Notamacropus eugenii: one gene and its partner. The protein of the gene in region 1 purifies or fractionates together with the protein of each later gene. This does not show direct contact. Links are inferred from orthologs where the notes say so. Each region holds a gene or a part of one and is shown on either strand. Other genes may lie near its edges.

Region 1 (6,923 bases):
AAGAAATTTACATGATAACTTTAAAAGGAATTGCAAGCTGTACATATGATTTGCAGTTTCATGTACAATCATTTTGAAAAATTATACTGTTATGAAAATGCTTGCTTTATTCCATAAATTAAAAACAAAATAAATAAAAATTGTTTTTTTTAATGTATATACTTACTAGGTGTTAGAGAGACAAGAGATTAGGAAAGAAGAGATGTCCTGTAGCCTTTCTTAGGTAGGGAACAATTGTTCCTAGGTGCTGGAGAAACAGAAATAAAAAGTGGAAAACATTTTTAAAATTTCATTTATTTATTTATTTATTTGTGTTTTTGGAGGGAGGAAGGCAAGGCAGTTAAGTGACTTGCCCAAGGTCACACAGCTAGTAAGTGTCAAGTGTCTTGAGACTGGATTTGAACTCAGGTCCTCCTGACTCCAGGGTCGATGCTCTGTGGTGGCACTGTGCCACCTTGCTCCTCCAAAACATTTCTTTTTTTAAGTGAAAAAAATTATTCTTCAATTTGCACTTAGTTTATCACTTTTCTCTCTGAAACAGGTTTTTCATCACAAGTCCTTTGGAATAGTCTTGAATCATTGTATTCTTTCATCATTCTAATATTGCTGTTATTGTGTACAATAATCTCCTGATTTTGCTCATTTCACTCTGCATCAGTTCTTAAAGGTTTTCTCAAGTTTTTCTGAAACCATCTCCTTCATTATTTTTTAGAACACAGTAGTATTCCATCACAATCGTATACCACAACTTGCTTAGCCATTCTCCAATTAGTGGCATCTTCTAAGTTTCCAATTCTTTGCCACCACAAAAAGAACAGCTATAAATATTTTGTACATATAGGTCCTGTGAAAGACATTTCTACTGAGGAATACAACATGTAAACAGTAAGAAAAAGATAAATTAAGGAAAAATAGAGATTTTTTTTTTAATGCTAGCGATAATAGGGAATCTCTAAACTTTTGAACAAGAATGCTGCTCAGAGATGAAGATCCAGGTCTTAGAGTATATCAGTGGTTTTGTGGTAGAAGATGGTCCAGCAAAAGAGAAAGCGGAGAAAATGGACAAATAAGAGAAACCAGGAGAGACCAGGAGAAAGTGGAGGCAAAGAGTGTAATTTTTTTTTCTGAAAGGGAAGTGATTTAGGAAGATAAGCCCCCACCCACCACCCCCATTTGTCAGAAACTGGAACAGAGGAGATGAGGATGGTGAATGATAATACAAAAGAGATTTTAAGGTGTATAATAAGGATTTCACATTAGATGGTCCCAACTTTTTCACTTAAGTAAAGGTTATATCCTTCGAGATAAAGATTGGAGGGGAAGGTATATTAGGCTCCCTCATTTGTAAGACGGAGGGTTGTTAGAGTGAATGAACAGCTCAAGCTTTTATTGAATATCTATTACACTATAATACAAAGACAAAAAAGTCAAACAACCCTCTGGTCTCAAGGGGCATCTGTTTTACTGACTGTTCTGGGTTCATAAGACTCAACAAGCTAACCGAAAGAGAGTATCTAATCTGATACCTTTACTGTTTATACAAGGTATTCCAAAAAGTCTTAATGCAGTACTGAGCTTTTAATAGCTTTAAATGGCACTAAACTCTTGAAACGGACGTTAGTTAAGTGGCTTACCCACAGTTAAACAACTGATGTGCATCCTATGGTGAGTGGAGTGCTGGACTTCGAATTGGGAAGACCTGTGTTCATGTCCCGCCTTTCATTTCTTATGTTTTTAATCCCTCTGATCCTTAGTTATCATATGATAATGTCACAGGGTAAAATCTTACAATCCATAAATGCCAGTACTTGTCATAGTTACTGTTTTTATATTTGCTGTTAAGTATATGATTTGAAATTTAAACTCAAGTCTTTGATCCCAAATAATAGGACTTATTTATATAGGACCTCCAAATTGTTCTTCCTACTACATCAGGGATTCTTTACCTTTTTATATGTCATAGACACCTTTGGCAGTTCAATGAAGTGTATGGACCTGTTCTCAGAGTAATATTTTTAATTACACTGAATAAAGTGCATAGGATTGATTACAAAAGAAATTGATGAGATTGAATAAAATTATCTACCTATTTTTTTTTAAAGTTTATGGACCTTATTTCTAAAGTTCTGTAATAAATAATGAATGGGGATCTCAGGAAACAAACCAAAAATCTAATGCTTTGTTCATTAATTGAGGGTGGTGCTACAGTTTGTTTTGAAAATTCTGAGTTTTATGCTTGGGGACACCAGGAGATAGGTTAGACTTTTAAGTCCACTGCTGACCTTCTGGCCTTTCTCTATCCCTGGATTGCGCACGTTAGAAGTACTTTCTATCCCTGAAGCCTCTTCCTCCCATTAGCAACTTCCCCACAGAACATCCATTTTGAGAACTATCCCCAGATCACCCTGGTCTTCAATTTCTCCAGGCTACACTCCAGCTGGCTCTTTAGATTTTCTCTACAATGCCCCCTAAGTCATCTGGTTGTTGTTGCTGCTGCTTGGTCATTTCAGTTGTGTCTGACTTTTCATGACTGCATTTGGGGTTTTCTTGGCAAAGATATTAAAATGGTTTACCATTTCCTTCTCTGGCTCATTTTATAGATGAAGAACTAAAGCAAGCAGGGTTGAGTGACTTGTCCAGGATCACACAGCTAGTAAATGTCTGAGGCTGGATTTGAACTCAGGAAAACAAATCTTCCTGACTTCAGGCCAGGCACTCTATTCACTGTACAGCCTAGCTGCCCTTGGTACCCTCCTGGTACCTTTTTATTTTTCCCACCCCATCTCAGTTTTCTTTATGTATTGTCTTCTTCCATTAGAGAGTAAAGTTCCCGAGGTCTGGGACTGGCTTTCTGCTTGTGTCTTCCCAGCCTTAGCACCATGCCTGGCATATAGAAAGCCCTTAATAAATGCTTGTTAACTTGATATGATGTTGGACTTTTTAAGTGCTTTCCTACCCATGTGGAGGACTCTATAGCTTTGACTTTTTAACATACTGCAAAAGCTTTTTTACAGCACACTTTGAATAATAGTCATGAAGGACACCATCCTTAGCACACCCAGGCTGCCCTTCCTTGGTGTCCTTCATTCTCATTTGTACGGAACAGCTGTCTTGGATCTTGAGAAATTCTCTGCTATGGAATCTTCCCAGTACCTTTTTGAGTGAGGGAGGATGGTGTCCACCAGGGGCACAGGGCCAGGGCTTTTACTGATATGCCTGAGAGTTGTATTATAAGGTGCCTGTAATTCTAGGTGGTTCCAGGATGGGACATGAATTTCATTGTGTCTCATTGCATCTCCTTATGTTAAAAATGTGCAGCTACACCAACATTGACGTTCGTTTTGTTTATTCCTGAAAACATGGCATTTTGTTTTGCTTTTGGTCATTCAGCCTCATTTGGGGTGATTGTCAGCTGGGAGGTTGGCAGGAGGGGGAGAAGAGAAAGCTGCATTTTGGCAACCCTTCAAGAGTCGAGCAGCTTCCTGCAGCCAGGACCATAAACTGTATAATTTGTCCATGGAGGCCTATGCATTATAGAAATGAAAATTCCTTCTCTGACAGCATTCACTGCTTAGCACGCAGCAATTTGGCTGTCAGAAACAGCTGGCCCTGCAGGGTGGGACAATAGAAAGGCAAGACTGAGAGAGAAGGAAGTGCTTACTCAAATCTCCCACTGTGAGAGGATCAGGTTACTGAGTCCATCCTTACAACAGACAGCAGACTGCACGGGGCTCTAAGACACACAGCTTCAAGTCTGAGCAGGAGACTATGGTTCAGACATTTTAGTGGTGTTTTGGGATTTTTTTCTTTTCCTGAATGGAACAACAAAAATATTAAAAAAACAAACCTCCTTCATGGGTACTCCAAATGTGGCTTTCTCTTTGCATTAAGATATTTTGAGAGTCTTCTGCTTGGAGATAAGCATTAATGGGAAAGTAAGTCCTTTGAGCTCTTGCGTGTGTCTAATTCATTGGGGCAGTGGAAGGGTATGTGAGGGACGGGGAAAGTATTTCTTGATATATTTCATGCTTGGTCTAGAACTTTTTTGTTCTGTTTAGGAACAGTTTTTAATTGAAAGTGATTGACACAAATATGAGGGAAGACCGAAGCAAGAGGCTGGCCGAGGGCTCCTTCTGGGTGCGTTTTTGCTGCTTGCATGGGTGCACACTGTCTAACTGGCATTTATTTCTCTTGGAGGGAGAGAGAGGTGCCGCTGTCTTGAACTTGCTTCTCTCTCTGTGGGTCTGCAGCATGTCTGGCTTTGTGTTTTCCCCTATCGATTCCATGACTCACTGAGTGTGATCTAAGCAAAAAGCTTGCTTAAATGACAGAGGAGACAGCTGTCTGTTACAGGAGGACATATTTTCTGGGTTTAATGGCGCCAGGTTTTTCCTAGTAATGTACAGAGCTGTAAAGTTTCTACAGAAGGTTTTTTCTTCACTAAATGTTTTCCCCCAGTTGTGTTCCAAATTCTTAATAGTCTAAATATTAACTTCACAATGTGATGTGTCCTTCAGGAAAGCAATATGCTTCAGGTTTTTTTTTCTTTTTGTAGATTACTTTTCTAAGCTGATTTTTTTTTCATGTAAAAAGTATTTGAGAGAACAGAAGCCCAGCATTGCTGTGGAAAAGATATTTTCTTCTCCAGCTGAGTAGGGCATTGGAAATATACTAAAGTACATTTATTTAGGCAAGTTAGAGGGTTGGAATCTGGTAGTTGTTCAATTTATACTGTACTCTAGGTTTTTTTTTTTTTGAATTTTCCTTCTCCCCTTTAAATCTGTTTCCCCTTTATATGATAGAGGCTGAAGTTCCAGATGTTGTTTTGGTTTAAAGAGTGTGTGGAAAAAAAATAAGCTTTCTTAATGATAATAACAGAGTCAGACTGGCTGGTTCTGTACTGACAGGAAAATGGAGAGATAAAAACTCCATTAATGGTGCATGCACTGCCTAAGTAGCCAATAAAACAATGCTGTCTTCACTGGAAACTAGTCCCAGATTGGCAATGATCAGTGCCAACTGCAAAAGACAACAGCTGCAGAGCTTGACAAAAGTATTAGAGTAAAAAAACGATATATTAAATGATTTTTGAGAGGGGGAGGGCGGTTCTTTTGTTCTCATCTTCCTTCTCCTTCCCACCCTCTTTTCTTAAGTCCTGCTTAATACTTGCTCTTTTGGAGAGTTAACCATGTTTGATTGAAACTTAGCTATCAAAAGAAGAAAGTGATTCTCTGAATGAGTCAAGTTCAAGTATATTTGCTGAGGTTTGGATAGAGGGCTGTTTTTGACTAGGGACCTAAGTGCGAGTGTATCTTAAATTTTTAAAAGTGGCCTCACTTTTCACAAAAGTTTTATTTTATTCTTTAAGTTGGTAGAAGAAAACATTTTTTCCCTAGCTTTACTTCCTAGAAATATCTTCCATTTTCTGAGTGATACATTCTTTTTACTTCTACACCACAGGTATTATTTTATTATTTTCTAAAATGTAGCTCATTTCATAAGACATTATTATGTATTGTACAAAGTTTGTATTCATTCATTCAGTAAATACTTTTTGAAAATCTGTATGTGACACTGAAGTGTATACAAAATCCTTGGCTGAGGAGGAGGTTAAAATTTGGCAAGTAGACTACAACTTAATAATGTGCACTTTTTCTTTTCATTTTTAAATCAAATTTAATTTTTTCAAACAATGAAAATCTGCCTTATCTCTTCTCTCCCATTGAGAAAAAAGAAAAAGAAAACTGTTGTTACAAACATGTATAATCAAATAAAACAAATTCCCACACTGATCACATCCAAAAAACAAAAAAATCTTCAATCTGTACAATGAGTCTATCACCTCTTTTTCAGGATTTGGGTAGCTTGACGATCACAGGTCTTCTGGAATTAAATAGTCGTTGTGTAGAACTGTATTCTAAATCTTTCAAAGTTGTTTATTGTTTAAGTATTGTTGAATAATATGCTTTTCTATAGAATTTGGAACTTTGAAGTTTCTAAAAAGACTATTTGCATAAAATTAACTATAAAACAAAGTAGTAAGTCCTGAACTGCATAAATGTTGAAAGCCACAGTGAATTGTATAGGCATTCAGAAGAGTTCAGATACTCTCCTTTATAAGTATTTTGCCATCTGAGGTGTATCAGTGGATGTATGCAGGATGTGCAGATTAGAAACTTTAAATTACATGAGTGGACAAGATATAACATATAGGTTAATGTTATGTAGATATATTTGGGATGGAGATGTAGAAGCCTGTTGTTAATGTTTATCCTTTGCTATTGAGAGGTCCAATGATATCACAAGGGTGATGTCTTGACTTCAGTAAGAATTGAAGTGAGGCAGAATTACACAAAGTCTTCAGCCTCACCTCACCCTCTGGTTGAGCAGTCCAGTGGCAAGACAAAAGTTTGGATGACTAGTGATAGCTTAGGGTGCAGCGGATGACCTTGAGTTTTCTAAATTAAGGTCTTGCCCAGCCTTCAGTTTGTCTGACAGTGTGTGTGTGTGTGTGTGTGTGTGTGTGTGTGTGTGTGTGTGTGTGTGTGTGTGTGTGTAGGAAAGCTGCATGAAGGAGGTACAATTTGGGATGTTTAAATTGTAACTGATGAATCATCTGGTGTTATGGGGAGGAAGAAATACCCTAGATTTTGGGGGGCTCCTCTGGCTAGAGAAGATAGTAGTGATCTAAGTGGAAGAAGCATTGAGCAAGACAGAAAGAATGAACTGTGATATGAGTGACTTGGAAGTGAAGAATTTTGAAGGTGAATGAAACTTTTGGGTTTGATCCGTAAAACTAGACTAGAGTTTTAGGGAGGGGTTAATTTAGAGCTGGAAATAAGGACCATAGTACTCATCTAACCCTATTTCCTTTATTTTATAGATGAAGGAAAGGAAACCCAGAGAGGGTAAGTAGCCTCTCC
Region 2 (6,970 bases), on another chromosome or scaffold:
ACCAGGGGATTCTTTGTAGGAAGTGTCTGATAAAAGTCTCATTTCTGAGATACATAGGGAAATTAATTATGTTTATAAGACTAAGAGGCACTCCCCAGTTGACAAATGGTCAAGGGATACAAATTGTTGTTGTGTTCATCCTTTGTTGCCGAAGAAGACCATGCCACCAGAGAAATGATGACATGACTTGCACTTGACTTTGTTTTGAGTGAGGGAGGGTGTGCAAGGTCACCAGTCTCGCTTTTTCCTCCTGAGCCATCTGGATCTAGTGACCAGATGATATTCATCAGGATGACTGGACATGGCCTAGGATGCAGTGGGAGACCTTGGCCCCTTTAGGTATATAAATAGGCAATTTTCAAAGGAATATGTGAAAGGAATATATTCAAAGGAATGTCACATGAAAAAATTTTCTCACTAATAATTAGAGAAATGCAAATGAAAACAACTCTGAGGTACCACCTCATGCCTATCAGATTGGCTAGGTTGACAAAAAAGTATAACAAAAGATGCTAAAGAGGATGTATACTAGGTACACTAATACACTGTTGGTAGAGTTGTAAACTAATTCAAAAATTCTGGAAAGCAATTTGAACCTATGCCTAAAATGCTATTAAATTGCTTATACCCTTTGATCTAGCAGTATTTATATCCCAAAGAGATCCCACAGAGGAGAAGGATCCCTAAAGGACAAAAATACTTATAGCAACTCTTTTTGTGGAGGCGCAGAATTGGAAACTGAGTAGGTGTTCATCAGGTGTTCAGCCAGGAACTGGCTGAACAAATTATGATATATGAATATGATGGAATACTAGTGTGCTGTAAGAGATAATGAAGAGGAAGGTTTTAGAAAAACCTGGGAAGACACATATGAACTGATGCAAAGTGAAGTGGGCAGAACTAGGAGAATAATTTATATAATAACAGTATTGTAAAAAGAACTTTGAAATATTTAGGAATTCTGATTAACACAATGACTAACCACAGTTCCAAAACACACATGATGAAACATGCTGTCCACCACCAGATAGAGAACTGATAGGTTCAAAGTACAAATGGAAGCATATTTTCTTTTCTTTCAAAAAAGAAATTTTTTTGGACATGACTAACGTGAGAATATGTTTTGTATGACTATGTACATTTATAATGGATTTTGCTTTTCTTACCTAATCAATATGTAAAAGAGAAGGAGAAAGGAAAAGAATTTGGAACTGAAAATAAAATAAAATTGAATTTTTTAATTGAATTGTGGTAGTTAGTGCCCCCCTTAGAAACTACTTTGCATGTATTTTGCATAGGTTTTTTTATTTACCTAAGTGTGTGTATATTTACTTATCTGTCCATAGAAACAACTTGGCCACAAGGACTTTTTAATGTTATCTTTGGTTCCCTAACCAAACCTGGCACATAGTAGGAACTTAGTAATTGCTTGTTGATTAATAAAATGCTTATTGAATTGATTATTGTTCAGCAGTTAGCTATTCAATATCAAAGGTGGGTTTTGAAACAGCATGTAGACCTGACAACTAATTATTAAATTAGTTTATATGGTAGCATTTATTTAATAGCCTGAAATTTGTTTAATCATCAGTCTCTTAGTTTACATCTCTTTCTTGCTCTGAAAAATCCCAAACAAGTCTAGTGGAGCCCATCTCCTAATGGATGTCTGGATGTTTTATTCAGGACTCATTTCTAACCCTATATATATTAATAAATGGACTGATTTATAAATTTGGTTGACATATGTTGTCAGTTTCAGTGAAGGAGATAGAAAAGGAAGCCAGGTTTCTAGGGACTGAGAAATGAGTGGGTGGCAAAAAAAAAAAAAAGTGGAGACAGCCAAGTATAGACTACTCTCTTTGGAAATTTAGCAGTGAATGGATAGGGACATATATGATAATAACTTAAGGAAGTGGCAGAGTCAGTGTTAGAGTTGTTTGTTTTGTTTTTTCAGATAAAGAAGACCTGAGCATTGCAGGAACAGCATTGTAGACTATATAAAGCAGTAACACTGGCACTGCTTCTGCCTTCTAATAGCAGATAAATGAAAATACATCATGAAAGCATTTGTATGTACCTATACAGGCAGGATAGCTATACAGCTGTTCTAAATTAGTCCCCTACTACATCCGTAGTCATGGACCTATATCTTACCACTGGACTCCAATGACTTCTGGGGGGAGAGGGAGGTTGATGATTTTGCACAGCTCTGCCTCACTTTGGGGGTGGGTATATGTGTGAAATGTCATTTTGCTTCCATTTAGGGAAGAATTCCTCAAGGAATGTGGGGTTTTAGGAGTATGAGAAGGGCATGGCATTTATTGATTAGTTGGTAGGCAGGGGAAGATGGAACAAAGTAGGCTCACTTGGCCCTTAGGCTTTACTGATAAGAGTTAGAGGACAGATAAAGTCATTTACCAACAGAGAAGTGTTTTGCCTCCTAGAGTGGACGTTGCTTTTGCCAGGAGTATCTCTCCTGATTATGATGACCAAGGTTGGCTTGGAAAGAGAAATGGGACACTAAGGGTATGGAACGCTACATATACTGTCAGATTCCACTAAAGTGTTGGTTAGTTTTACCAAACTGTTTTTCCCTCTGGCTTTTTTATTGTTATAAGGGATGGCTCCTTGGGTGATGGTGGGGAAAGAATATTTGGAAATGAAGGTCTTATTAAACTAAGTTTTCCCTCTTTTTTATTGTTATAAGGGATGGCTTCCTGGATAGAGGTGGGGGGCTCATATATTTGGAAATGAAGGTAATGAAAGAAATATGGCAAAATTTCTAAAAATTAAGAGTACACTCTTCTGACCATACTGAATTTCTTTCAGGCATCTATCTTTGTTACTCTGAGTTAAACTCTCCAGAAAGCAATGAATTTGCCTTCCCTCCCCTACAGAGAAACTCAGCATTTGTGGGGAGGTAGAGATGGGGATGACTAGGGAGAGGGCCAAAGAAATGACTTGCAGTCAAGAGCAGCTTTACGTCTTATGTCTAGAAGACTAACCAGAAAGGGCAATGCTTGACCCAGGGGAATAAATCTCTCACGGCATCTTGAGCCACTGGGAAGAAAAAGATTTGGGGTTAAGGTGTACCTTCCTAGAACTCAACTTTCCACAGAACCTTGAAGGTCCTTCCAAGTATTAGGAACCTTCCCTCACTTCATTTCCCCCACACTCCTTTTTGCCCTGGGTTAAAGTGGATGGGAGTGGGAAGCAAGGGGGAGGAAGGAGAAGAGAGAGCAAAGAGGATAGGAAGGACAGATAAAGGAAGAATAAAAGGGAAGTGGGGAGACAGGGGGGAGAGAGAGACAGAGAGAGACAGGGAGAGAGAGGGAGAGAGGGAGGGGGGGAAGGGAGAAACAGAGAGGGAGAGGGAGAGAGAGAGAGGAGAGGGAGGGAGAAAGAGGAGAGGGAGGGAGAAGGAAAGAGAGAGAGAGAGAGAGAGAGAGAGAGAGAGAGAGAGAGAGACGGAGAGGGAGGGAGAGAGAGGGAGAGAGAGAGGGAGGGAAGGAGGGAGGAAGGGAGGGAGGGAGGGAGAGGGAGAGGGGGGAGAGAGGGAGGGAGGGAGGGAGAGGGAGAGGGGGGAGAGAGGGAGCTGGGGGAGGCGGGGCCTCCGAGGACACCTGCCCGGCTGCGCTCCGGCGCTCGCAGCTCCAGGCACAGAGAGCACGCCCAGGTACCGGCGCCCTCACGCCCACTCCCACCCGAAGGACAGCTCAGGCCCTCCCCCAGCCCCCTCCATGACCCTCATCCTCAGCCGCGGGGAGGGGGTCGAGCGCGCCGGCCGGATGATCGGGCGCCCCTCTCGGCCCCTGTCAATCAGAGGCGGAGGCCGCCGTCCTGCCGCGCTCCGGGGCGGGCCCCCACGTGACGGGAAGCGGCGGCGGGGCCCGGACGGAGCCCCTGGGGGAGCTGCGGAGCCAACCCGGAGCCGGGCCGGGCGGGGCCGAGCCGGGCGGAGGGCGCGTGTGCGGGGCCCAGCAGTCCCGGGCCTCGGCGGCCGCCGCAGCCGCAGCCGTGAGCGGGAGGCTGGGCGCAGGAGCGGCGGCGGAAGGCGGCTCGGGGCGGAGCGGACCGAGGAGGCCCGGGCTGGGCGAGCGCGGGTGAGGAGGGGGCTGCGGCGGGGAGGCCGCGGGGCTGCGGGCGGGCCGGGCTGTCACAGCGCTGAGGCGGGGCGGCCGGGCGGGTGGAGGGCGGCCGGGGCTCTGGCGTGCGTGCGTGCGGGTGTGTGTGTGTGTGTGTGTGTGTGTGTGTGTGTGTGTGTGTGTGTGTGTGTGTGTGTGTGTGTGTGTGTGTGTGTGTGTGTGTGTGTGTGTGTGTGTGTGTGTATGCGTGTATGTGTGCGGGGGTATCCTGGGGTGGGGGGGGTATCGTGCGTGCGTGCGTATGTGGTGTCCTGGTGTGTGTGTGTGCGCGTGCGTGTGTGTATGCGTGTATGTGTGCGGGGTATCCTGGTGTGTGTGCGTGTGTATGCGGATGTGTGTGTAAGTGAAATTTAGGAGGGTGGGATTCAGGGTGTGATCTTGTGGTGTGTATGTGTGGGGCTGTGTGTGTGATTTAGGGTGGTACGGCGTATGTATGTGCGCGTGTGTTAGGTTAGGGGCTGTATGTGGTTCAGGAGGTTGGGACTCTGTGTGTGTGTGTGGTGGAGGGGGATGGTCCTCTGCATGTTTTTTTGTGTATGTGTGTGTTAGGTTGGGGGTGTGGTTAGGAGGATGGGACTCTGTGTGTGGGGGGGCAGTTAGAAGGATGGGACCCTGGATATCTGTGTGTTTGGGGGATAGGGGAAAGATCCTGGAGACTCATTGCTTGATTTGAAGTGGAGGTTGAATACTTTCAAGACGAGGAAAGAGAATGAAGAGACCCTATCAGGGTCTCTTTCCTCTATCCCTAAGGCTGTTTGGGAGCAAGGAAGCAAGTGTATATGAACCATAAGTTGTTCCTAGGCATCTTGAAGTTTTAGAATATTTAAGGTTTATCTTTGTCCCAATGGGCAAGAGAACCTCATGGATGAAAAGATAGCAAGTCCAGTGTTGAATTAAAATGGATGGTTTTTGAGGATTGAAGAGCTCAAAGCCAGAATCCTGAGAGATTTTTCCCATGTTGCCAGTTGAGGTGCAAGTGGTGAGTTAGTTTTCACTTGTAGTTGATACTACCTCCTCTTGAGTACAGGAAGCTTTCCATGAATATGGACAGAAGGCTTAGTTTTCAGGCATCTGTACTTGTCAACACGGTAGCCAGCACTGTATGGAATCTCCTTTAGCAGCATTCGTTCACAAAGCTACCAGGGCCTGTGGATTACCTGCTGCCCACTAGGATTCCATGGAGTCATCATTAATGTTAGAAGAAGGCATTTAGTTTTGTAGGTTGAAAATTTAACTGAGTAAGGGGTTAATCACTGTTGAAATTGCTGCACTGTGAGAAGCTTCATCTCTTTGTTTTCAGGGAGGTCAGCATGTTGGCATTATTGTATTTGTCAGATTAATGCATTGATAAATCATGTGTGTGAGTATAATAGCACTATAATATGAGATGTTTCATTTGTAGGTCAGAATTGATGTCTGAGAACTGGCTCTCAGCCCAAATGAAGCCTGATGTTGAGGCCCACGACTCATTTGTAATTTATGTGCTTCCTCTCTCATAGTTAGACCAAAACCATCTGAGCTTTACTACAAAACCTGGGGAGAAAACATTTGGACGGTTTTTGTCCTTTCCCCTTCCTTTTCTGCTTGCTGAGTCTACTTCCTTTGCCTCTTCTCTCCAAAACACTCAGTGAAGCCAGTCTTTTTTGGCTCAGCATTTTTTTTTTTTTAGCAGCTGCAGTGGTGTGGAAAGAGCATTGGTTTAGGAAATCAGAGACTTGAGTTTTAACACTAATTCTTAGGCTAACTACATTGACCTTGGAAAAATTCAGTTGATCTTTTGGGCCACTTTTCATTATGTTTGAAGTTAGGAAATTGAAAGACCTCTCAATTTCCTTCCAGCACAAAACTTCTTCGATTCTGTGTGCTTTGAGTGCTGTCTTTGATAATAAAAGATGGGTGGGTGTTTCAGAGTAAGTTCACTTGTGGATTCTCTAGCCTGATTTCTGTTTAGGCAGTGGTAAGTTGGAATAGAAAATATAACAACATACTTAGCTTTCATTCATTCTTCTGTGTCATTTTCAGTCATGTATTTATTTCTGCAATAGTTTTTGTTCAACTTTAAGGTATTGTTATTATTAGAGATCATCTAACTTGACCTCTTATTCAAGGCTCAAATCCTTCTTAATAGTGGTTCAGTCTCTGCTTAAATATGTCCAGTCAGAGGATACTCAATACCTTTAAAGTGATTTGTTTCATTGTTGGGTAGCTTTAGTCACTGAATTCTTTGAAAATGAACAGAAACTATTACTCTTTTAAAATGCTACAACATCAAATTCCAATGTTCTACTGGCCCCTTTATTGAAGGGAACTGAAGTCCAAATATATTTAAAAGGTTTTTTAATAGACCCCCTTCTGCTTGTATTAAGAATTTAAGATTCTCTTAAAGGAAACTCTAGGTATTTTACTTAATGAGTTTAAGCCTTTTCATCTTGGTTAGAATCCAGTTCTCGTTAGAAATACATTAAAGTAATTATTTTCTGGAGCCAGGTGTTTGAAAGATATTCAGTAATTTGGCCCATACTTTCAACCCATTTCCTCTGTGGCAAGCCTGACCAGTTTTTCTTTATTAAAACAAACAGACAAAAGAAACACTCAAAAAAAACCCAACCCAAATCAAACAAACCCTGCAGAACTGCATGAATGTAGAATAATTTATATTGGCTAAGGTTTTCTAATGTTAAATATTAATACAAAATTTACTCTGTCTTACATAAGAAAAAGCTAAACCCTGGTTTCAAAATATAAAAGTACCATGAAACTGAGATACTTCCTTAATAGCATAATCTAAAGTAGCTAATTCATTAACTGTTAAAATTGTAGCTTGA

What was found. Proteins that work in one complex are often made in the same cells at the same time.
Region 2: the proteins of ACVR1 (region 1) and TGFBRAP1 purify together in Homo sapiens (co-immunoprecipitation; 3 studies listed by BioGRID and IntAct, counting the BioPlex papers as one, with this or other methods). This does not show direct contact. The link is inferred for Notamacropus eugenii from reciprocal best matches to the Homo sapiens genes ACVR1 and TGFBRAP1.

The regions. Positions count from the first base shown.
Region 1 is NC_092876.1:216,757,541-216,764,463, reverse strand, and holds the start of ACVR1 (activin receptor type-1), read left to right. Parts: upstream 1-3,912; 5' UTR 3,913-3,927; coding exon 3,928-3,935; intron 3,936-6,923. UniProt on the Homo sapiens protein: Bone morphogenetic protein (BMP) type I receptor that is involved in a wide variety of biological processes, including bone, heart, cartilage, nervous, and reproductive system development and regulation.
Region 2 is NC_092877.1:200,324,924-200,331,893, reverse strand, and holds the start of TGFBRAP1 (transforming growth factor-beta receptor-associated protein 1), read left to right. Parts: upstream 1-3,963; 5' UTR 3,964-4,103; intron 4,104-6,970. UniProt on the Homo sapiens protein: Plays a role in the TGF-beta/activin signaling pathway. It associates with inactive heteromeric TGF-beta and activin receptor complexes, mainly through the type II receptor, and is released upon activation of signaling.